6 linked regions of the Ovis aries genome follow. The protein of the gene in region 4 purifies or fractionates together with the protein of the main gene of each other region. This does not show direct contact. Links are inferred from orthologs where the notes say so. Each region holds a gene or a part of one and is shown on either strand. Other genes may lie near its edges. The genes, in order: RECQL4, TRIM33, PKN2, PNMA2, MARK4 and CEP290.

Region 1 (4,300 bases), on a different chromosome or scaffold from region 4:
ATACCTGGTGTGATCTAGAGTCAAGGCAGCCGTCTTGCAGCCTGGCCTCAGCCCCACCACGCTCCTGCCCGCCAGCTCACCAGACAGGATCCGCATGATCACAGGCTCCTGCCCGGGGTAGAAGGCGTGGTGCCCCAGTTGCTCCAGGGCCTGAAACACCTCAGCCGGCGTGTCTGTGGACACAGGTGTCAGTCAGCTTGGCTCTGAGTCATCCTAACCCTTCCGTCCAGGCCTGGGCTGTTAGGCATCTGCTGACCTGCCACCTGACCCGAGGGCCCCGGTGGGTAGAGTGGAGGCACGGAAAGAGGTGGACAGGGCATCCTGGACACAGATGGCCCCGTGGGCACCAACAGCTCAGGTGCCCCAGGCTCAGCGTCTTCTTCACCTGCTGAGAACAGATGAACAGCATAGGAGCCCTGGACTGGTCTGGCGTCATAGTACCAAGAAAGCAACTTGCTACAGCCTCTCCTTAACCTCTTCACTCACCAGAGAGTTGGCAGCAGGCTGCACCTGTCCTCAGGGATGCTTCCTGTAATGTGGGCTGGGTCTGTGCACCATCCACCTTGACATCCTCCTTCTGAGGTGCCAGGAGAGGTTCTGGACCAGAAGCAGGGAGTCAGTAGGGCCTTTGCCTGAGCCAGAATTGCCTCTCCAAAGAGCACAACACCCCTGTAAGTAGGCTGGCGTCCAGGGCAGAGGCCTCACCGGGCTGAGAGCATCGGGACGCCCAGTGGCTGAGCTGCCCATGCTGGGAGCAAGAATCCTGAGCTGGACCTCTGGGCTGACCACCCCCAAAACACTCCTCTTTTTTCTGCCACTTCTGCTTCCATGCCTGGTTGGGGACACAAAGAAGGGTCACAGGGCAAGCAGCAGGACAGGTGGGGGGAGAACTCGGTACCACCTCCTCACCTGCTTGCGAAGGAGCCTGCCCCGCAGGGCCCGGCCCCGCACATAGCGTCGCTGCTTCATGTTGAGCCGCACATAGTTCCCCCTGTCCTGGACAGATCTGGAAGAAATGCACATGTCGGCAGTGCCCACAGCCCTCCCTACACTGGCTCAACTGAGAGCAGCCCTGCTGGGAGGTTAGAGCAGTGATACCTGGAGGCTGGGGTCCTGCCTGGGGGCTGTGTCTTCACAGGCTGCTCTGTACAGTCTTCTGCAGGCCCTGCAGCCCCAGCTCCCTCAGGCATGGGTCCTGCTTGGTCGGTGCCCTGCTGGGTCTGTGCAAGGCTTCCCTCCAGCTCCCCACTCTGTCTCCGCTTCTTGCCTTGACGGTCACCAGGCTGACACTTCCCTGCACTGACACCAGCTGCTGGTAGGGCTGGAGCCTCTGGGCCCTGCAAAGGTACCTCAGGACCAGCGCTGAGGCTAAGGACAGATGCAACAGCTGGAGTCAGAAGCTGTGAATCCTCCGCACCCAGGCCAGGCTGGCAGGTCCTGGAAACCTCCAGAAAATCTGGGGTCCTGTTGTGACACCGCTGCAGCCACTCAGGGTCGAGGGAGCTCAGTCGCAGGCTCAGGGATGCCCTCAGCTGCTGGAGCCGGCCTGGCCTCAGCTGGGGCCTGGGAGGCTGAGGGAGCACCTGATTGACATTTTCTGGAGAGATGGGGGCAGCTGCTGCGCCTGGTGGCTCCGGTGAAGGGATCTTGGAGGAGGATCTTTGTGCAAGCCGGGGTATCCGGCCCAGGGTTGACCTAGCCTGGGAGGGAGACAAGCAAGCAGGAACTCAGGCCCTTGGGGTGCCACAGACTCATTCGTGCTGGAGGCCCATCTGTAACAGCTGGGTAAGGTGAGAGGCAAAAGGTTGGAACATAAAGGAAGCTGAGGGTAGAGGCTGATCTGGAGCTCCTCTGCGGAGCTGTGCTGGCTGTGTGTGCACAGGTGAGCATGTGACTACCTGTAGGACACTCGACAGGGATGGGTATGTGGTAATTCTGGCTGGGGTCACCTGCAGCTCTGGACCCAGGCTGGATGCACTGTTTACTGGGCCTTCATCCCTCACCTGCAGACTGCCCTTTAAGTTGGCCTTAAGCCTCTTCCCATAGTCCTGCGCAGACTCCTGAGGGCTCCACCTTGAGGGAGGATGGGGACTCTGGGTCGCAGCCCGATTCAAGTGGTTCCCCCAGCAACTGGGTTCCAACATCTGCAGGAGACAGTAGAGACCTAAACCACGGAGAAGCTGGTGTGTGAGGGGGAACAGAGATGTCTCCACCCCCGAGAAACCCAAGGAGGGGCTGTCCTTCCTCCACGCTCTCACACTTCCCCCTCTGCCCCCCGCTCCCGCCGAGCTCTGTGCCCCACAGAAGTTGGGTCACGACTCCTCCCGGCTCCGGCACACAGGATGTTGACCCAGAGGTTGCGATGTCGAGCCCAGGTACCTGCTCGGCAGCGGCGGGAAGCGATTGCCCCGAGCTGTGAGGCTCGACGCCGCCGGCCTGGCCCAGTGCTTTCTTCAGGGAGCGGTACTCTCGGTACAGCGCTGAGAGCGGGGTCGGGGGATCGGAGTTGAGGAGTCAGGATTCCCCTGGAAGGGGGCGTGGAGGCCTCCCGCCCCCGGCCCACAGCCTTGGCCACTCCCTCCGTCCCGCGCCCGCGGGCTCACCGCGGGTCTCCTCGGGCGCCGCTTCCACGTCTTCCTGTAAAGGGAACGCGTCAGGCGGATGCCGTGCCCTCAGCTCCCCGCCCACGGGCAGTCCGCACCTTGCTCGGCCGCCGCCCGCTCTGCCGCCGAAACGCGCGCTCCCACGCCTGCAGCCGCTCCCGCACGTCCCGCAGCCGCTCCATGGTCGCCGGAAGCTTGGCGCCCCGCGAATCTCCCGCCTAGAGGGCGATGCCGGCCGCCAGCCAATGGGGACGCTCGGCAGCGTTGGAGGCGTAACACCCTGGGCTGGGGCAGCCAATCTACGGGGCCCTGCTGCAGCAGCCAATGAGGTGCGTTTACGTCATCGCGGCGCGCGACGGCGCAGACGGAGCGCGACGTACAGCGAGGCGGGGCCGGCGGCGGTGGCGGCTGCTTGGGTCCGGGTGAGCGCGGGCTGCCTTCTGGGGACCGAGCACTGCGGCTTGTGGCTCCTTCTCTGCCTGGTCGCACAAGGAGCGTGCGGACACTCGGGGCGGCGCCGCACCGGAGGCGGGGGCGGGGGCGGAAACCCGGGCGGGGCAGCTGAGGGAAGGGGAAGACCCGAGTCGGGTGCCGGGCTGATCGGCCTCGGGTCTTGGGGGACGATGCTCCGTCTTCTAGAGGCAGGCCCCGCCGGAGAGACGGAGGGCGTCGAACTGACGGGCTCCCGCCCTGAAGGCCCGGAGGAGCCGTGCGGGGGCGTCTTCAGGGAAACGCTGGAGTCGTGGGCCGGTGAGAGGGGGCGGTGGCCACCACGCTGAGACTCCTCCCATAGTGACCACACTGGCTGCTTTCCTTTTCTCTCGTGACAGGTGCTCGGTTGGTCTGTCCTCACAGCGAGGTATGAATCGTCCTCGCGAGATTTATCCTCAGGGAGAGAGAGACCGAGGGTTGACGTCCCGGGCTTCTCAGGAACCAGCGCCCTAAGGACTTGTGTATGAGGTCCGCAAGAGCTGGGGCTCTGGGGCCAGGCTGCCACCCTTCCCAAGCTCGTTACCCGGGAACTTTGTCTGGCAAGGCCTAGGTCTTAGTTTCCTAACATTTTCAGGGAAGTGGCTTGGAGGCAGTTTTGAGGATGAGGTGCCTGGCACACAGTAAGTCAGCAGCAGAGCTGTCACGCAGGTACCTTGTGGCCTCAGGCATCTCTTTTGTGCTCCTTGTCAGCTTGGATATACCTTTGACAGCTGCCTCTACCTATCTCAAGAAAGGCCCCTAGTTTGGGGTCTTTGAATCCCATGGGTTTGATACTTGTCCTCTTAACGTGATTCTCCAGGGAAGAGAGACATTTACACAGATGCCAAGGACACCGATGGGTGAGGCATTCTTTCTCTCTGTAAATCTCCAGGGGTCTCCATGTCTAACAGTGCTCCTGGAAGATAGTAGTTAGTACATGTTGAGTGTTTGGGTTACTCTAGCTCTTCAGACTCAGAGTTCACTGGATTCTGGTCCGTTCCACTTGTCCTACTATTTATTAAACTGTATCTATAGTTTCAACTTCTCTTTGCTGTGCTGTGCAGAATCCAAGGGCAGCCTGCAAGAGCTTGTGAGGCGGCTGAGAGAGGGTGCTATGATGTACCTTCCAGCCCCTGGGATTATCTCATCCCTCTAGTGCTTGGCCAGGGGTGGGAGGGTGGCGGGTGGGGGTTGGCTTTTTAAGAAGGGGAGGATCTCTTGATAAG
Region 2 (4,296 bases), on a different chromosome or scaffold from region 4:
CACAACACACACACACACAACCTGTTTCTGTGCCTGAATTATCTGATTTTGCATTAACAGCACTGCCACCCACCAAACAAGAAACCTGGAACTTGGCCTAGACACCTGTGTCTCTCTCACACCAATCTCAACTGGCGCCTCATCTCCATTCTCAGCACTACTTACAATCAGTTACCATCAATGATAACCTAGCTGCCATTTCACTAATAACTACCATGTACTAGTCACTTTGTTACATGTACTAGCACCATGTACTAGTCACTTTGTTAAGTCACTTTATTCTATCAATAACTTTATCAGGTAGATAATTTTTGTCCTTGTAAAATTAATCTGTCCAACTCACAAGCAAGAAGTGACCAAGTAGGCATCCAAGAAAAACGTTTTCTCCAGAAGTCCATACCTTTCCCCCATAACAAAACATTTCCTTCTTCAACACCTAACAGTTCTTTACCAGCTAATTTCTCTCTTAGATTACTGCCAGAATTTTCCTAACTAGTCCTGCCTCAGGTTTTTTCTTCCCTTACCTTTCGATGTGCCCCCAAGCAATCTTTATAGATCACAAATGTCATCCTTTTACCCTAATACAAACGTCTGTGAGGTGACTTCCCTGGTGGTCCAGTGGCTAAGACATGGCACTCTCAATGCAGGAGGCCCAGGTTCAATCCCTGGTCAGGGAACTAGATCCGACATGCCACAACTAAAGACCCCACATGCTTCAAGGAAGACCCTTGCAGGATAGATAGATATTTTTTAAAAAGTCTGTGAGGGACTCCCTTTAGTCTATCTACAATGTACCAGGATACAGTCTACAGGACGAATCCAAAACCCTTTAGCACAGGGCCACAATCCCTTACCTTAAGCCCCAAACTTCAAAAGCTTTGAAATTTTAGTTTTTTTCATGAGTCTGCAACAAAACCCACCCTGAATTGTAGGGGATTATTTCTCTATCCCATTAGTGATATTCATATGCCTCACTACAGAAACATTAATACTTAATAATGAATTGTTAACCCAGACCCTGCTGGAGTATTGAAGACCTCAGAGGAAAAAGAAAATTTTTTCAAAATATTCTGACCTCTAAAACACACCTGGTCCCAAGAGCTTCAGGTAAGGGATTGTGACTTCTTACCTACTCAGCCCATCAAACCAACTTAATTTCCAGTGATGACCTGATCCCGTCCCAGGAATGTATAAGGTGCCCTGTGTTCTGAAAACTCTACAACTCAGTGACCTACTCACCCTTCAAGAAACCTACTCAAGGACTGCTTTTCAGTAAAGTTTTCCTGACCTTCTCTTGACTGTGCCACAACCACTGTATCCACCGTCCACTGCTGTATCTCATACGTCTGTTTCCCCTATGCTGGGCAGTGAACCGGCTCCTCACTGCGTATTTTATCCAATCGCAGCACGGTATCCGAAACACTAAGGGTCCATTAATGTCAAAGAATATAAATTCATCCCAACTCTCCCTAACACCTAATTCCCTTCAAAGCTCAGTTCTCCTTTACCCCTAAACCTAAGGTTTTTTCCCTGGCCATACAGGCCCCTCACAGCGATTTTGTTTCCAGAGTTCCTTCTTCTCAATGTCATCCTAAAGTTACTTTCTACCAGACGCCTTTTCTTAGTCCCAAATTCGCCAATGCCCTTTAACCTTCCCAGTCCTTTAACCTTCCCAGTCCTTCTTTCCCCTAGCTTAGAACAAGTCTCCCCCCAAGGCAATTCATCCTCACTGCCCTTATCTCTTACCTACTCCCTCCTCAACACCTCTCGGGGCTGGGCCCTCCCTTAAAAACGCTTCTCACAGGCGGATTCCCAGACCCCTTCTTCGCTCACAATCCGTTCCATCAGCTCCCGAACCTACGCTCGGCCAGAGTCCACGCCTTCCCGGCCCGTATCTGCACACCACGAACCTCCCCTGCAGCCGGCGTCCCCTCCCCCAGCCTCTCTCTCTCCCCTCCCTTCACCCTCCCCGTCTCTCTGGAGGTTCAGCTTCTCTGAAAACTGTCCCAGGAGCCGTGTCTTTCACCTCTGAGACTCTTCAGGATCACGCCGGTCCGAGCAGCCCCGAACCCGAGTACTCTCAGAGGACCCCAGATCCTCCTCGGCACAGCAAACCCCCTTTGGCCCAGACCTCGGGCCGGGCCTCCCGCTCACCTTGCTGGATGTCGCCGTTGCTGCCCCCCGGGATGGGCACGTTGAGTTGGCGCTCGGGCTCAGGCAGGCATCGCAGGCAGAAGGAGTGAAGACAGGGCAACAGCTTGGGCTCCGCCTCACGCCGGCTCTGCAGGCTCTGCTGACACACGGCGCAGGTGTCCAGGAGCGAGGCTGGCGGTCCTGGAGGCGGCCCCGCCGAGGGACCCGGAGCAGGAGCCGAGGCCGGAGCTGGGGCTGGCGTCGATACCGCCCCCCCGGGAACTCCAGGGCCCATTGAGGCTGCAGGGGCTGAGGCAGCCGGGGCCGAGCCCGAGGAGGCCGCGGCCACCCCCCCGTCGTCGGGCCCGGCCGCGCCGCTCTCCGCGCCGGCCCTGCCGCCTTCCTCCTCCTCCTCCTCCACCAGCACCGCCGCGAGAGGCGGCTCCGCCTCCTGCGCCGCGAGCCCGGCGGCTCCGGCAGTTACCGGCGCGCTACTGCTGCCCCCGCCGCCGCTCTCAGCCTCGCCGCCGCCTTTGTTTTCCGCCATGTTTTCCTCTTTGAACCCGCCGGACCGCCCCGCGCCGCCCGCCGCCGCCGCCGCCGCCGCCCCCAGCCCCAGCCGCAGCCGCAGCGAGAGCGGCCGCCGAGAACGAGCAGGCTAGAGAACGAACGAACGAGAGCGCGCGCGCACGCGGCACCCCCAGCCTGGCGTCGCGCGGTTGCTGGAAGGCGGGCGCGGCGCGCGCACGTACGCACGGACGTCCTCCGGAGGGAGGCGGGAACTCCGGGCGCGGGCGCGCAGCCGTCCAGGTTGCCCCTCCCGACCTCTAGGGCCCGCACGTAAGATTCCGTCCCGCTGCAGTTCCGTTTGCAGTGAGCTTTTAAAGCCTGAGACTGTTGAGGCTAAACTACCTTTAGTCGCGAGTGGAAGAACTCGGACGCGGCCACTATACGGGGAAGAGTGGGAAAGGGTGGAAGGCCGGGGCTCTTTCCTGTAGAGCGAGCGACTCGGGTGGTGCGGGTCCCAGGGCGGGCGCATCTCCGCGGAAACCTCCCTCCGCGCGGGGTTAGACTCCCAGGCTTCCTGGGTCTCTGTGCTTTAATTAGCCGCGTTCCTTTGGATGATTGTATCTCTCGGGAGCAGTAAAGGGAGGATTTTTGTTTTTAACTGGCGGCTTACCAGAAATAGGCTGAAAAAACTCAGTGAAGAAAAAAAAAACTCTTTAACCGCTATTTTTAGCTTCTTAAGGTGATTGTTTCTCTGCCGTTGCTACGCATCAGAAAACCAATCGACTGAGAGGCTTTTTCAGAGCGGAGATGTGCCAGGACCACACCCCAGATCTGCATCAGGAAGTGGGGGAGAGCTGATGAATGTTGAAAGCGCTTTGACTGACTGATGGGCGTCAGTTTGAGAAGTCACGCTCTGACCAATATTATGTCTTCAGAGTCCCACTTAGTGTCCGGGCGTGAGTTGAGTCGCAAATACCCTAACAAGTGTAGTTAATAGCAGCTTTCAGGAAGGTTTGTCTTTATTTGGGAAACAAGTACTATGGCTGTTTTAATGTTCAGATCGTGAAGTACTTTCCTCTTCAGACAGTGTTCCCAAGAAATATTCTTGAGCTGGTTGGTATAAGTCCTTACAATAAGCCACCTCGAAACATTTTTCATTTATTCGTTCAAAACAGTGACCTCTTACTACGTGACAGGTAATGTTTTATAGATGCTAGGATTGCAGCAGGGAACAAAGGAGACCCTTGACTTTCAAGGAGTTTGCAGTCTGGGGGAAGAGTGATGTAAATATATGCAGGGAATGACAAAAGCTATGAAGGGGAAAAAAGAATTCAGATTAGAAGTGATTGGGGAAGTCCTATGTTGATCAAGCTTTGGTTCTCTTGCAGAAGAGTGTTCTAATCAGAAAAAGCAGTAAGTACAAAGGGCCTGAGGTAGACCATATTCTTGGCTTGTTACAGTCTGTGTGACTGGAGTGACTTGACAGAGGCAAAGAGAAGTTGAAGAGGAGATTAAAGAATTGAAGGAGCCGGTCACATACAGAGATGGCCTTCAACTTGCTAAACTTTTGTGTTTTGGAAAAGAACTTTGAAAAACTGCTTTCTCACCTCAAACAATTTAAGATGATCCTAAAAATTTTCATCAAGAGTGTAA
Region 3 (3,500 bases), on a different chromosome or scaffold from region 4:
TCCTTTTAAAAACAAAAAAATTGTTTGCTTTAATTTTAAAGCTATTTAAAATGTATACTTTTGATTACTGCTTTTGGTGAATTGCTTTATCTTTTATAAGTGATTCCACAGTAACCAAGTTGGACTTTGATCTTGAACCTGAGCCTCCTCGAGCCCCACCACGTGATTCTTCCCTTGGTGAAATAGATGAATCTGCAAGAGATTTGGATACACCAGGACAGGTAAGGCATTTTAAACCTTGTATAATTCCTTTCCACCAAATAAATTACCAGTTATAGCATCATGGTAATTTATCAGCCGTAGCATCATTGGGCTTCCCTTGTGGCTCAGATGGAAAAGAATCTGCCTGCAATGTGGGAGACTGGGATTGGATCCCTGGGTAAGGAAGATTCCCTGGAGGAGGACATGGCAACCCACTGCAGTATTCTTGCCTGGAGAATCCTCATGGACAGAGGAGCCTGCCGGACTACATGGGGTTGCAGAGTCAGACACAACTGAGCAACTAACACTATAGCATCATAATGAATGAGATGCACTTTTAAGTTGTTTCTTGTGAGTGAAACATAAAAACCTCTGGATGCCCATGAGCCACTAGAGATGGAATAGGTTGCTTATTCTAGGAGCCTGGGAGTATGGCTGGTATTAGATGAAGTATTTCCTGACACTGTGCATCTTCTAACTAGGTTAACATGATACCTGAAAATGCATATAAAATTAAAGTAATGTATTCATTTTTTAATTGAAATATGATTGATTTACAACACTGTTTCACGTATACAGCATAGTGATTCAGGATTTTTTTCAGATTCTATTTCATTATTTCTTTCTAGAAGATAATGATTATAATTCCCTGTGCCATATAATATATCCTATTATCTATTTTATTTATAGAAGTTTGTATCTAGTAATCCTATACCCTTAGTTTGTCCCTCTCCTATTCCTTCTCCCCCTGGTAACCACAACTTTGTTTTCTAAATCTATAAGTCTATTTCTGTTTTGTAAATACGTTCATTTATATGATTTTTTAGATTTCACATATGTGGTATATACCATTTCTTCCTCTGTCTGACTTACTTACCTAAGGGTAATATTCTCTAGGTCTATCCATATTGCTATAGAGGGCATTATTTCATTCTTTTTGTGGGCAGAGATTAATTTTCCATTGTATATCCATATACCACATTTTAAAACAATTTTATTGAAGTGTAGTTGATATACAGTGTTGTGCTTAATTTCTTCTGTAGAGCAGAGTGACTCAGTTATACATATATTTTTTCCATTACAATTATCACAGGATATTGAATATAATTTCTTATGCTTTATAGTAGGACCTTGCTGTTTATCCATCCTGTATATAGTAGTTTGTGTCTGCTAATCCCACATTCCCAATCCTTTCCTCCCCCAAACCCCATCACCGTTGACAACCACAAATCTGTTCTCTATATTTCTTGAGTGCTTTGTTTTGTAGATGTGTTCATTTGTGTCATATTGTAGATTCCACATATAAATGATATCATGTGGTACTTGTCTTTCTCTTTCTGGCTTAATTCCTTTGGCATGATAATCTCTAGGTCCATCTGTGTTAGTGCAGATGGCATTATTTCATTCTTTTTTAATGGCTGAGGAATTCCATTGTGTGTCTGTGTATGTATACACACACACACACACACACACACACACAATGTTCTTTATCCATTCATCTATCAGTGGACATTTAGGTTGTTTCCATGCCTTCGCTATTGTAAATAGTGCTGTAAGAACATAGGGGTGCGTGTATCTTTTTGAATTAGAAATTTGTCTCAGTATATGCCCAGGAGTGGGATTGCTGGATTATAGGGCAACTGTATTTTTAGTTTTTTGAGGAATCTCTGTACTGTTTTCTATAGTGGCTGCACCAATTTACATTCCTACCAACAGTGTAAGAGGATACCCTTTCATGTGCCCATTGGCCATCTGTCTGTACCGCATCTTCTTAAACCAATGGTCTGTTGGTGGACACTTTGGTTGATTGGTTCCATGAAACTAGCTATTGTAGATAGTGCTACTGTGTACATTGGAGCTCCTGTATCTTTTCAAATTAGTGTTTTTATTATTCATTTTTTACATTTTAAAGATGAGAGTAATATATAATTAATGACCATAAAAATGAATATCTAATAATAACATCTGAATTTTATTTTCTCATTCATATTTATATTGACAACATTTTTTCTCTATTCTTACCTAATAAGTTGTTTTCTGAATGTTTCTGATTTAATGAGCGTTTAATATTTTACAGGATTCAGAAACTGTTTTTGATACTGAGAATGACAGAAATAGAATACTTCCAAAATCTCAATCTGAATATGAGCCTGATATCCCTCAGTCAGGCCTAGAGTATAGTGGTATTCATGAACTTGAGGACAGAAGGTAAAGAATATATCCACAGCTTTACTTACATGTTTGGTCCCATACTTTTGCCTTATTTTTAATTGGCATTACTGTTTTCAGATCTCAACAAATGTTTCAATTCAATCTACAAGACTTCAGGTGTTGTGCTGTCTTGGGTAGAGGACATTTTGGAAAGGTAATCTTTTAAATTTTCTTTCTTTGTAGGCATGAGTAATCATTCAAATGAGAAATAATTACTTTAATCTAATTTTAGGTGCTTTTGGCTGAATATAAACACACAAATGAAATGTTTGCAATAAAAGCCTTAAAGAAAGGAGACATTGTGGCACGAGATGAAGTAGACAGGTTAGTTTTTTGAAAATGAAATTGTTACACTTTTCTAAAGTTATAACTTAAGAAAATTGATGTATTCAGTATATATGGAAATGATAAAATTATCTCTTTTAATAATACAGTTGATTGTTGAATAACATGGTCTTCAACTACTTGGGTTCACTTAATATGGATATTTTTCATTTAGTAAATGCTATAATATTACATAGTTTGTTGTTGGTGAATTCATAGATGTGGAAGAACTGCAGATACAGAGGGCTGAATGTAAATTATGCACGATTAACCCCCATGTTGTTCAGGGGTCAGCTGTAATAAGTAAAGAAACTAAATTAATGCATGAGGTGGGTATTGATTAAATATTATTTTTCTTTCTAGCTAATTCCCTCTTCCCATTCTTATGACATTTTACTGCTTGGTGAATACCAAAAAAAGTTGATGAAATCTTTAAACTAATTCTTATATTAAGTTTTTATACTTGGAAATGTTGAAATGTTTGTATGAATTAGGAACTATTACACATCTGTGGTTGCGTGAGGCTATTTTGCATTTCATACTACAGAAGTAATAAGATGTCATTTACAAGTAATCTTCAGTTAAGTGGTTAATTCCTTCTGCTTTTTAAAATACACCTATATCTATTTTTTGCTCTATTTCTCTTAAAATGGTAGCTTTTGACCACAGCATCTTTCCTTTCTGTGTGTAAATTGGTATGGATTCATCTTTATATATGATTATTAAAATGTAAGGACTTTGGGGATAATATTGTGATTAGGTTA
Region 4 (2,607 bases):
TCACAGGGTTGATCCCTGGATCAGGAAGATCCCCTGAAGGAGGGCATGGCAACCCACTTCACTATTCTTACCTGGAGAATCCCATGAACAGAGGAGCCTGGTGGGCTATAGTCCATTAGGTCAGGATTGCATAGAATCAGACACAACTGAAGAGACTTAGCAATTCTTGCCCAAGGGACTTCCCTGGCCACTCAGAGGTTAAGGCTCCACTTTCACTGCAGGACATATGGGTTCAATCCCTGGTTGGGGGACTAAGATCCCACATACCCCACGATGCAGCCAAAAAGATGAAAGAAAAACAAAATAAAACCTGGCTTGAATGCTTTGATTTCAACTGTGCAAATTATAGAGAAAAAAAGACTGAAAAGGTCTTAGCCTAATAACGTGGCTGTCCCTCCACCCACCGTCTGTGGGTCACCCTTGGAGTTGGGTTTTAGTCATTGGCCTCGTTACCCCAGTGGCCATAGCCATCCCCTCCCTCCGGCTCTTCAGTATTCTCATTTTCAAAAGCGGCCTCTTCCTCCTCTTCTTCCCGGATGACCTTCATTAACTGCAGGAAGCTGGGAGGCCGGCCCTGGTCTTTCAGCTCCCTAAGCCGACACCAGAGTACCTCACTGAGGCTTGCCCCGGCCATGACCTGCTCCAGGCGGATTTGATCGGCGATGTTCCTGGGGATCGCCCGCTTCTCCACCGCTCTCCGCAGCAGGGTTTCTAACCGTAACACGTAGGCTGAGACTTTCTCTCCTTCCTCTTGATAGGTTTTCAGGTACTTCACCTGGGAGGTCCGGCGGCTCTCCAGGTTCCCAAACACTTGCTTAAATGCTTCCAAACACTCCTCCACGCTGATGGATGGATTGTCTGCCTGGACTATGTGCATGAGGTCCAGGGCTGGCCCGCGAAGGCTTTCCATCAACCATCTCTTCTTTTCTGCCTCTGCTACTGGCCACTCTTTGACTATCTCAGTGGCCTGTTCCAACCAGACTTCAAAGGGCTCTTCCTCGGGGGCAGGCACGGCGCTCCCTGAGAACACTCTCAGCTTCCGGTACCTCATGGGGAGCAGAGGCTGAGGGGCATGTGCTACCACCTGTCCCAACACATGGGCCAGTAACTCTGGTGAGATGCAGGGCACGGCTGCTGGAGACAGCCCCTGGTGCCCAAGTGCCCGGAACATTCCTGAGACCGTCTGTCCCTCTTTTTCTAGAAAGAGGTTCAGTCTTTCCAGAAATTCCGTGTCCTGGTTAGGGGTCTTGAAGATGACTTTCCAGACACCTCCCTTGCCCTGAACCTCGCTGGGAATCACAGAGACCTCAGGGTCCTCAAGCAACTCTAACAGCACCGCGTTGGCATTTTCCTGCTTCCGGAATATTTTGCCAAGGAGTCTATACCTGCCCAAAGGCTTTAAAGTCTCCTGCAGGACCTCCTGAATCTCATCCTCGCTGCAGTCCACTGGGATCCCCATAACCATCAGTGATTTCTGATCATCCACACTCAGAATCCTACACCAGTCCTCCAACAGGGCCAGCGCCATTGCCGGATACTGACTGGCTGGAACTCTATGGCTACTGATTAGCTTATGGGACAGACTGGCGCTGACTTCAAACTGAGAAAATCCCAGATGAGCTTCTAGACTTATAACCCACTAGTTAACAGGTCCTGGACCAATCACCCTTGCTGCTCAGTGGCAAGAACCTGGCCTTTTCCGTGAGGTCTCCAGACCTGCCCCAGGTTGTATCTCAGTTATGAGGGGACCATGGCCAGAGGCTCTGCAGTCTCGTTGAGGAGCGGGGGTGGGGACCTGCCCCACAGGAAGCACGTGGCAGTTCCTTTCACCCCTCTCTGGGTCTCTGCCGCCTCACCTCTCTCTAGCCAGTGGGGAGATGCCTCCACTCTGGCAGCCAGAACTCTTGGAGGGAAGTTTCCCAGCAGAGTGGCTTGGGCTCCTAGGGAAACAAGGCTCAGTTTTATCACACAGCCCTCTCCTTTCTGGGAAGCATGGGTACCTGGTGAGGGATGGAAGCGGGAGAGGGGAACAGGGAGACTGCCTTACGTTATAGTTGAGTCATCGCTCTTCTTTGCTTACAGTGACTTTTTACTCTTCGGGACCCTCCTGCAATCAGGCTTCCCCTCAGGCATGCCAGTTAATGGAGCTCCAGTGATGGACAGGACTCAAGATCTTTCCCACATGAAAAGTGAAATCGGGAGGCTGTTTGTTAGGTACCTGTTTGTTCCAGAATGTTCTGTGACAGCCAAGGCGCTTATGTATTCAGCTTCTAGTACAAGAAGATGTCACCCACTCAGCACAGTGGTGTGTCTGGGTGTCTCTCCACTTCAGCCAAGCCAAGCTGCCCTGTATAAATATAATAAATAGTGTATTTTTATGATGATAATATCCAGTGTCCCTGGAGGAGGAAATGGCAACTCACTCTAGTATTCTTGCCTGGGAAATCCCATGGACAAAGGACCCTGGCAGGTTACAGTCCCTGGGGAAGCAGAGTCAGACTTGACTTATAGACTCAACAATGACAATACCCAGTGTGAAGACTGTTGATACACTTATTCAAAAATACAGCAATTCTTGGAAATTTTCTGGTGGTCCAGTGGTTGAGA
Region 5 (3,500 bases), on a different chromosome or scaffold from region 4:
TTACTGTCTACGCTTTCTGTACTGAGTTTTGAAGGATGTGACTATCAATTTCAAAAACAAAACAAATCTGGTCCCTTAGAACATCTTCAAAATTTATGGTTTTAGAACCCAGGGGTTAAGGGTGTTCTAGAACTTCAGAGACTTGGAACTTCTGAGTGTTAAAATTCAGAAACCTTAAATGCTCAAAAGCCCCAGAACCATAGCAAGCTCTACAGTGACACACCCGGGGCGCCCGTCGACCATCTTTCATCCCGTGAACCCTGGAACCCAGGGGGTCTCCATGGGGGTTATTTTTAAAGGTTAACATGTCCTAATCATAGGTTGTTAGAATCACAAGCTTCTCAGGGCCTTTCTGGGCCAATCTCGCTATTGTATAGGTGGGGAAAAGGAAACCCAGGGAAGGGGAATGGTTTGACCATCCAGGATACTCCCTGCTCAAGACTAAGCTTCCCAGACTTCCTTCTTCCCGTACTAGTGCCTGTCCCAGAGTAAGGCACTTCACCCCCAGGAGAAGTAGGGATGCAAAAATAACGGAAAGTTGGAAATCACCTTGGCAGTTATTTAACTATTAAACATAGAGTTACCATATGACCCAGCGATTCCACCCTTAGGTACACACCCAAGAGAAATGAAAACAAAGACCCACACAGAGAGTTACTCATAACAGCCAAAGGTGAAAACCCAAATGACCCCCCACTGGTGATACATACACAAAATATGGCATATCCACGTGATGGAATATTATTTGGCAATAAAAAAGTGGAGTATTGATATATGCTATGATATGGATGAATCTTGAAAACATGCTTAGTGAAAGAAGGTAGTCACAAAAGGCCACAGATTGCATGATTCTAATTATAAGAAAGGTCCAGAATAGGGAAATCTATAGAGAGAGTAGATTAGTAGTTGTTGGGGGGGGGGCGCTAGGGTGGATGGGAGATTCGAAGTAGATGGCTAAGGGTTGTAGAGTCTCTTTCCAGGGTACTGACCATGTTCTAACGTGGACTGTGGTGAAGGATGCACACATCTGTGAACGTACTAAGGCCACTTAATTGTATATTTTAAATTGGTGAACTGCATAGTATGTGAATTATTTCTCAATAAAGCTGTTAAAAAATATAGCAAAGATGATTAAGATGAGGGTATAGATAGAGACCTCTTGCAAGTTCCCATGTCTCATTTATGGTGGCAGTGGTCGTGGGTCTATTTCCTGCAGGAAATGAGATATCTGTTAGTTGAAGAATGTAGGATGCAAGCAGCTGTCTCCCCAGCCCCTTCCCACTAGTAAGTTTGGAAGAGAGGCAAGAGGGCAGGCTTTCAGCAGCATTTTTGTACAATGTGTCCTCCTGTGTCCCAGTCAAGTGGATTAATCCCGACTGGACCCTGATATCAAGTGGATCAAAGGGATTTCAGTTACTATTGAGCTGGCCCCTAAAACTGAGTTGTAAGAAGTTAAGAGACTGGAAAAGGTAAGGCAGGATATGAAAAAAAGAAAGGAAGAACCAGATGAACAAAGAAGAAGCAAGTCACAGAGTGTCTGTTCTAGGGTTGGCTGCTTTTCCAGTTTCTAATCCCTTCCTGAGCCTGGCTGCCTCCACATTCCATGCAACGTCCCTGCAGCTTTATAAGATGTTTCTCCCTTCGTTGCAGTTGGTTCGAGCCGGTTTCTGCTGCTTGCCAGCCAGGGAACCCTGACATAATGCAGGTCTGCGGCCTTGGGCCGGGACGGCACGTCCAAGGGTTGGGGCAGTACTCACAGAAGTCGCTATGCCTGCGCTGGCGGTGGTAGGTGGAGGAGGAACTCCGCTGCCCTTTGCTGTGGCTGGTGCCTTTGCTGGAGCTTGTTCCATTGGTGGTGTCGCTGGGCGCCCGCACCCGTGCCAAGGCCAGCCCCGGGGCACCCCGGTCCCCACCCTCCTGCAGGAAGATGACAGACAAGGAACCTCAGCCCCTTCCCCTCTGTCCCAGAGGTCTCCCTCCACCCCGGGTATCGCGCATCCCGAATGTCCCTGACGCCTTCTGACCTCAGTCTTCCTGCCCAGCAGGAGGTAGGTGGCAGTCACTTCGTTGTACTTCTGGCTGGTCAAGGCCTCTTTGATTTCTTCCCGCGTGTAGCCCATACCCACCATCACCTCTGGGAGAGGGGGATGGAGAGGAGGTTCAGTCTCCCCAGATCCTTCCCTTCCACTCTTTTCTGCATCACACAGTAATGTCTGCACTTTGGCCTGTCCAGTAATCATTCCCCCTCCTGCCAGCAGCACCCTGATTTTCCTTGGAAGAATATTTTTTCTCTGCTCAGATTCCCCAGCTGACTCCTGCCTGCTCCAAACCCCAGGGGCAGGCATATTACTCAGGTGTGACCAATCAGAGTGTTCCATCCCCAAGGCCACACTGATTGGTTCAGGGTGGGCATATGAACCACTTCTGGCCAATAAGAGTGTTCCATTCCCAAGGTCAAACTGACTGCTTCAGGGGTAGCCAATGGGTCCCACCCTACAGCTTCCACTGGAACATTAGGAAAGTAGCTGTTCTTCCCACTGAGGTGTCCAGGCCACTAGGACATGCTGTTGTCAGTTTGCTCCTGCAGGGAGAGCTGCCTGGGAAAGAAGTCACCACCGAGAAGATTCCTAACAACTGTCTCTGAGCACCTGGATCCAGCTGTGCCTGAAAGCTGACATATCATGGCCTTTTCAGTTATGTGAATGAAATAACATCACTATTAGGTTAAACTACATGAAATTGCTTATACTGATCATTTCTGAGCTATGAAAATGGTGATTTCATATGGATCAACCAATTATTATTTTCTGGTTGAAGCCAGAATGGCTTAGGTTTTCTGTTACCTGCAACTGTGAAGTCCTGATTAATACAGCCAGATCTGATGGTGGCTGCAACTTCATCAGCTGCAGAGTGAGGGTTTCCTAGATGGTTCCTAAGGGGCTCTTCCAAGGCTAATGCTTTAGGGCCAAGTGTTCAAGGGCTCTGGGCTGAAGGGACTGGGCCTGAAGGGGTGGTGAGTGAGGCAGGTGCCAAGGTGGGAGTTTTTCTCAAGCATGCAGATGACTGATGCCTCTGTCCAAACTCTTCCAGAAGTCACCTGTGAGTTCTTATGTGTTAACAGTCAAAGCCTGGAGAAGGAAATGGCAACCCACTCCAGTACTCTTGCCTGGAAAACCCCACGGACTGAGAAGCCTGGTAGGCTACAGTCCATGGGGTCGCAAAGAGTCGGACACGACTGAGCGACTTTCCTCGCTAAGACAACAGAACTTATCACATGTCTATTATGACACAAAAGCACTTGTTTCATGCCCAGTGTAAGTGCTTTATATAAACTCATTCATTTACTATTCATAACAAACCTATAGGACAGGTTCTATGATTATCTCACTTTATAGACAAGGAAACAGAGGCACAGAGAGGGGAAGCCACTGGCCCAGGGTCACACAGCTAGAAAGGAGCAGGGCAGGGACCAGAGCCCAGACTTCTCTGCTGGCCCCAGG
Region 6 (3,500 bases), on a different chromosome or scaffold from region 4:
TGCCAAAAACTGTTGTTGCTGCTGCTGCTGCTGCTGCTAAGTCGCTTCAGTCGTGTCCGACTCTGTCCGACTCTATGGAGAGCAGCCCACCAGGTTCCTCTGTCCACGGGATTCTCTAGGCAAAAATACTGGAGTGGGGCCACAAACTATTACAGGTATATAAATAAAAGTTTTGTATTTATGTTACTTTACAATTTTCAAACTACTTCCATATATAGCATCATTTGGCCTTCATATAACCACCTTGAAAGAGCCAGAGTAAGGACTGTCATTTTCCTTTACAGATAATAAAAAGGAAAATTTCAAAGGTTAAAGATGAGATTCTACACAAGAATCTTTTGAGTCAGACTGACTAGATTCAAATCATGGCTTTCTCATCTTCTCCTAGGCATGTTACTAACACGTTCTGTAGCTTAGCTTCCTATCTGCAAAATGGAGTGACTATCCCATATCATCAGTAGTACTGAGGATAAAATGAGACAATATAGGCAATATTTTTAGACCAGTGCATGATATAACAAATGCTTACATTTATATTTATTATATCATTATTCCCATTTTCCTATATTTACAATATATTTCTAAGACTTACCGTAATTTCATATTTTCAAATTCTTTGATTTTTAATTCAGTGATTTCTTTTTGTCTCTCTAAATCTTGAGATACTTGTTTTAGTTTGATCACAAGTGAGGAGAGAGAGTCATCTTGTTCTGCTACTGTCTGTTCCATTTCAGCCAAACGAATAAAATGCTTGTTGGTAGGAACTGGAGTGGGAGACTGTTTTATTAAATCCTATGAAATATCATTATATTAGCCATGAGCAGGTACAATGCAATGCCATACTTATCTCATAATTTTAACTTGGTTCCTTAAATGATCAAAACAATTTCAAATCTAAAATGTAATGAAGGCAATGAAGGCTTAGAGAAGACAGGAAATAGGGATCTTATTCTTTGTATTCCCAGCATCTGGCAAAGTACCTACATGTAGGGAAGGATCAATAAATAAATATTGATTGAATTAATGAGTTAAAGTTTGAGGAAGGTAAGGTTTGCATGTTAGGAGAAGAAAGGTCATTTTGCACATACAGAATACAATGACCAAGAGGCAAGAATTATCAGAACATAGAAAGCAGTTAGATACAGGTAAATTAATAATGTATAGATTTGAAAAGACAGACAGAGGTCAGAGGAAGAAATATAAACATGATTTTCTAGGCAGCAGTAAGCTATAACAAATCTAGGCCTAGGGAAAAAAATGATCAGGGCCGTGTTTTCAGATTATTCTGGCAAAAAAAAAAAAAAAAAAAAGTAGGATGGCTTCCAATCCCCTCTCCCTGAAAACAGAGCTAAATTTTCAACTGTATGGTCTGAAAAATCAATAAAGAATAGAACAAAGTTCCTAGACTCTTACCCAAACTGTAATCTTACCCAAGCTGTTTCTTTGAATTTACTGAGTGAATTATCAGCCTGCAGTTCTAATTTACGATGAAGAATATGAAGTTCTTCTTCATGTTTCTTAACAATTTCTCTTTGTTCCTGTTTTATAACAAATGAAAACTATAGCTTACATTGTGACTCATATAAATTTACATTCTAAAAGTCTTAAATATTTTATCTTTAATATACTAAAATCCTTATGAGAGGGAAGGAACAACATGTGCATACATTTCCCTAGCACATGTTCAAACTGACAAGCCTAGCCTTAGAGTATAACTTATTCTTAATATTAGAATACTATGGATTTATTATCTTTTAACTTGTTTCTAGCAATTTTTAAATTTTAGATTTTTTTTACCCCTTAAAGTTCTGGCAAATTTGATTTTCACTGATACCAGTGTGATGGATTTCATTCTAACTTACTGCCTCAATCTTTACCTATTAACTTGAAATCAGTTTCACCATGAACGCCATTACTGGTTTACTCAGTCAATAACACAAACTGCCAGTTTTACTGACACATCTGTAATCCAATCACGTGAAAGTAACAATACCTGAATTGAATCATTTGAAAACAAGAAATGAAACACCACTTAAGGGCAGAATAGTACTTGGCATTTGTCTAAAAAACACCATAATAAATAAGACAGCATAACATAACCAAATACCTCTCTGGCTTTTTCTAGCAGATGTTGATACTTCTTCAACACTTCTTCCTTTTGATTTAACCTTGCTTGCATATTTGCAATGGTCTGGTGAGCAAGTTTCAACGTGTGATGAGATTTTGGTTCCACCTCTTTTCTGCTGAACTCAGCTATAAGCTTTTCTTGTTCTGCAGTGGCAGGCAATCGAAGCCTCAGTTCATTGATCACTTTGTCTCTTGACAGAATATTCTCCTCTGCTAACCGTAAAGCAGATTCTTTTTCTCTTAGTTTCTGTAATGATAAATCATTAAAAAAAATACTTTTTTTTTCTTTTAAATGCTTCATCTGAATTTTAGTCAGACTGGTGGTGGTGGTTTAGTCACTAACTCGCGTCCAATTTTTGCTACCCCATGGACTGTAGCCTGCCGGGCTCCTCTGTCCATGAGATTCTCCAGGCAGGAATATTGGAGTGGGTTGCCATCTCCTTCTCCAGGGGATCTTCCCAATGCTGGAATCGAACCCGGGTCTCCTGCACTGCAGGTAGATTCTTTACCAACTGAGCTACAAGAGAAGCACACTAATAGCCAAATGCTACTTTCAGTTCAGTTCAGTCACTCAGTCATGTCTGACTCTGCGACCCAATGGACTGCAGCACACCAGATCTCCCTGTCCAACTCTCAGAATTTACTCAAACTCATGTCCATTGAGTCGGTGATGCCATCCAACTATCTTATCCTCTGTCATCCCCTTCTCCTCCTGCCTTCAATCTTTCCCAGCATCAAATGAGTCAGCTGTTCGCATCAGGTGGCCAAAGTGTTGGAGTTTCAGCTTCAACATCAGTTCTTCCAAAGAACACCAGGTCTGATCTCCTTTAGGATGGACTGGATGGACTCCTTGCAGTCCAAGGGACTCTCAAGAGTCTTAATAAGGTTAAACTGTATTTCTATGTGATAGCAGTTATCTACATGCATATTTTATTTATAAGATTATTATATATGTTAGAAACTTCATTGTTAATGATGAAAATGAAATTTAGTTACAATACTTTATTTAGATCTTATAGTTTTAGAAATAGGAATGTGGGTGGTGATAGATCTATAAAGAAAATGTACTGAATCATTTCTTTTATTTTGATTCATTGACTCATTAGAGCATCAGAAGAGTAACCCATAGAAGTCAACAAAGTATAAAAGCTGGAATTTTAGTGGTCTGAGTCAATGGATCTCCATTGTAAAATGTGCAGCTTCTCAAAACAAAACAGAAAATAGTATATATTCCTCAACGGAATTAAGCAAATACTCAAAAATCAAATAGCTCAGTGGCAATTCACATAAATGACAAATTTACAATATAGAAGACAATTTAAGTTTCTTTGGTTGATTTAAAAATGCACAATTTAAAAAATTATTTTAAATGT

Evidence for each region.
Region 1: the proteins of PNMA2 (region 4) and RECQL4 purify together in Homo sapiens (affinity purification with mass spectrometry; 3 studies listed by BioGRID and IntAct, with this or other methods). This does not show direct contact. The link is inferred for Ovis aries from reciprocal best matches to the Homo sapiens genes PNMA2 and RECQL4.
Region 2: the proteins of PNMA2 (region 4) and TRIM33 purify together in Homo sapiens (affinity purification with mass spectrometry; 3 studies listed by BioGRID and IntAct, with this or other methods). This does not show direct contact. The link is inferred for Ovis aries from reciprocal best matches to the Homo sapiens genes PNMA2 and TRIM33.
Region 3: the proteins of PNMA2 (region 4) and PKN2 purify together in Homo sapiens (affinity purification with mass spectrometry; 3 studies listed by BioGRID and IntAct, with this or other methods). This does not show direct contact. The link is inferred for Ovis aries from reciprocal best matches to the Homo sapiens genes PNMA2 and PKN2.
Region 5: the proteins of PNMA2 (region 4) and MARK4 purify together in Homo sapiens (co-immunoprecipitation; 3 studies listed by BioGRID and IntAct, with this or other methods). This does not show direct contact. The link is inferred for Ovis aries from reciprocal best matches to the Homo sapiens genes PNMA2 and MARK4.
Region 6: the proteins of PNMA2 (region 4) and CEP290 purify together in Homo sapiens (co-immunoprecipitation; 3 studies listed by BioGRID and IntAct, with this or other methods). This does not show direct contact. The link is inferred for Ovis aries from reciprocal best matches to the Homo sapiens genes PNMA2 and CEP290.

What each region holds. Positions count from the first base shown.
Region 1 is NC_056062.1:13,390,578-13,394,877, reverse strand, and holds the start of RECQL4 (ATP-dependent DNA helicase Q4), read right to left. Parts: upstream 2,801-4,300; 5' UTR 2,786-2,800; coding exon 2,702-2,785; exon of another isoform or gene 2,638-2,701; coding exon 2,604-2,637; exon of another isoform or gene 2,481-2,603; coding exon 2,380-2,480; exon of another isoform or gene 2,145-2,379; coding exon 2,004-2,144; exon of another isoform or gene 1,701-2,003; coding exon 1,099-1,700; exon of another isoform or gene 1,007-1,098; coding exon 910-1,006; exon of another isoform or gene 833-909; coding exon 706-832; exon of another isoform or gene 598-705; coding exon 487-597; exon of another isoform or gene 389-486; coding exon 257-388; exon of another isoform or gene 174-256; coding exon 81-173; exon of another isoform or gene 5-80; coding exon 1-4. UniProt on the Homo sapiens protein: An ATP-dependent DNA helicase which unwinds dsDNA with a 3'-overhang in a 3'-5' direction. Does not unwind more than 18 bp of dsDNA. May modulate chromosome segregation. The N-terminal domain (residues 1-54) binds DNA Y-shaped DNA better than ss- or dsDNA.
Region 2 is NC_056054.1:91,878,335-91,882,630, forward strand, and holds the start of TRIM33 (E3 ubiquitin-protein ligase TRIM33), read right to left. Parts: upstream 2,801-4,296; 5' UTR 2,681-2,800; coding exon 2,155-2,680; intron 678-2,154; exon of another isoform or gene 605-677; intron 1-604. UniProt on the Homo sapiens protein: Acts as an E3 ubiquitin-protein ligase. Promotes SMAD4 ubiquitination, nuclear exclusion and degradation via the ubiquitin proteasome pathway. According to PubMed:16751102, does not promote a decrease in the level of endogenous SMAD4.
Region 3 is NC_056054.1:66,045,717-66,049,216, forward strand, and holds part of PKN2 (serine/threonine-protein kinase N2), read left to right. Parts: intron 1-100; coding exon 101-221; intron 222-2,278; coding exon 2,279-2,409; intron 2,410-2,490; coding exon 2,491-2,566; intron 2,567-2,644; coding exon 2,645-2,736; intron 2,737-3,500. UniProt on the Homo sapiens protein: PKC-related serine/threonine-protein kinase and Rho/Rac effector protein that participates in specific signal transduction responses in the cell.
Region 4 is NC_056055.1:39,174,498-39,177,104, reverse strand, and holds part of PNMA2 (paraneoplastic antigen Ma2), read right to left. Parts: intron 2,348-2,607; 5' UTR 2,219-2,347; exon of another isoform or gene 1,941-2,218; 5' UTR 1,529-1,940; coding exon 434-1,528; 3' UTR 1-433.
Region 5 is NC_056067.1:52,725,755-52,729,254, reverse strand, and holds part of MARK4 (MAP/microtubule affinity-regulating kinase 4), read right to left. Parts: intron 2,135-3,500; coding exon 2,025-2,134; intron 1,918-2,024; coding exon 1,758-1,917; intron 1-1,757. UniProt on the Homo sapiens protein: Serine/threonine-protein kinase. Phosphorylates the microtubule-associated protein MAPT/TAU. Also phosphorylates the microtubule-associated proteins MAP2 and MAP4.
Region 6 is NC_056056.1:124,377,701-124,381,200, forward strand, and holds part of CEP290 (centrosomal protein of 290 kDa), read right to left. Parts: intron 2,375-3,500; coding exon 2,108-2,374; intron 1,539-2,107; coding exon 1,431-1,538; intron 793-1,430; coding exon 593-792; intron 1-592. UniProt on the Homo sapiens protein: Involved in early and late steps in cilia formation. Its association with CCP110 is required for inhibition of primary cilia formation by CCP110.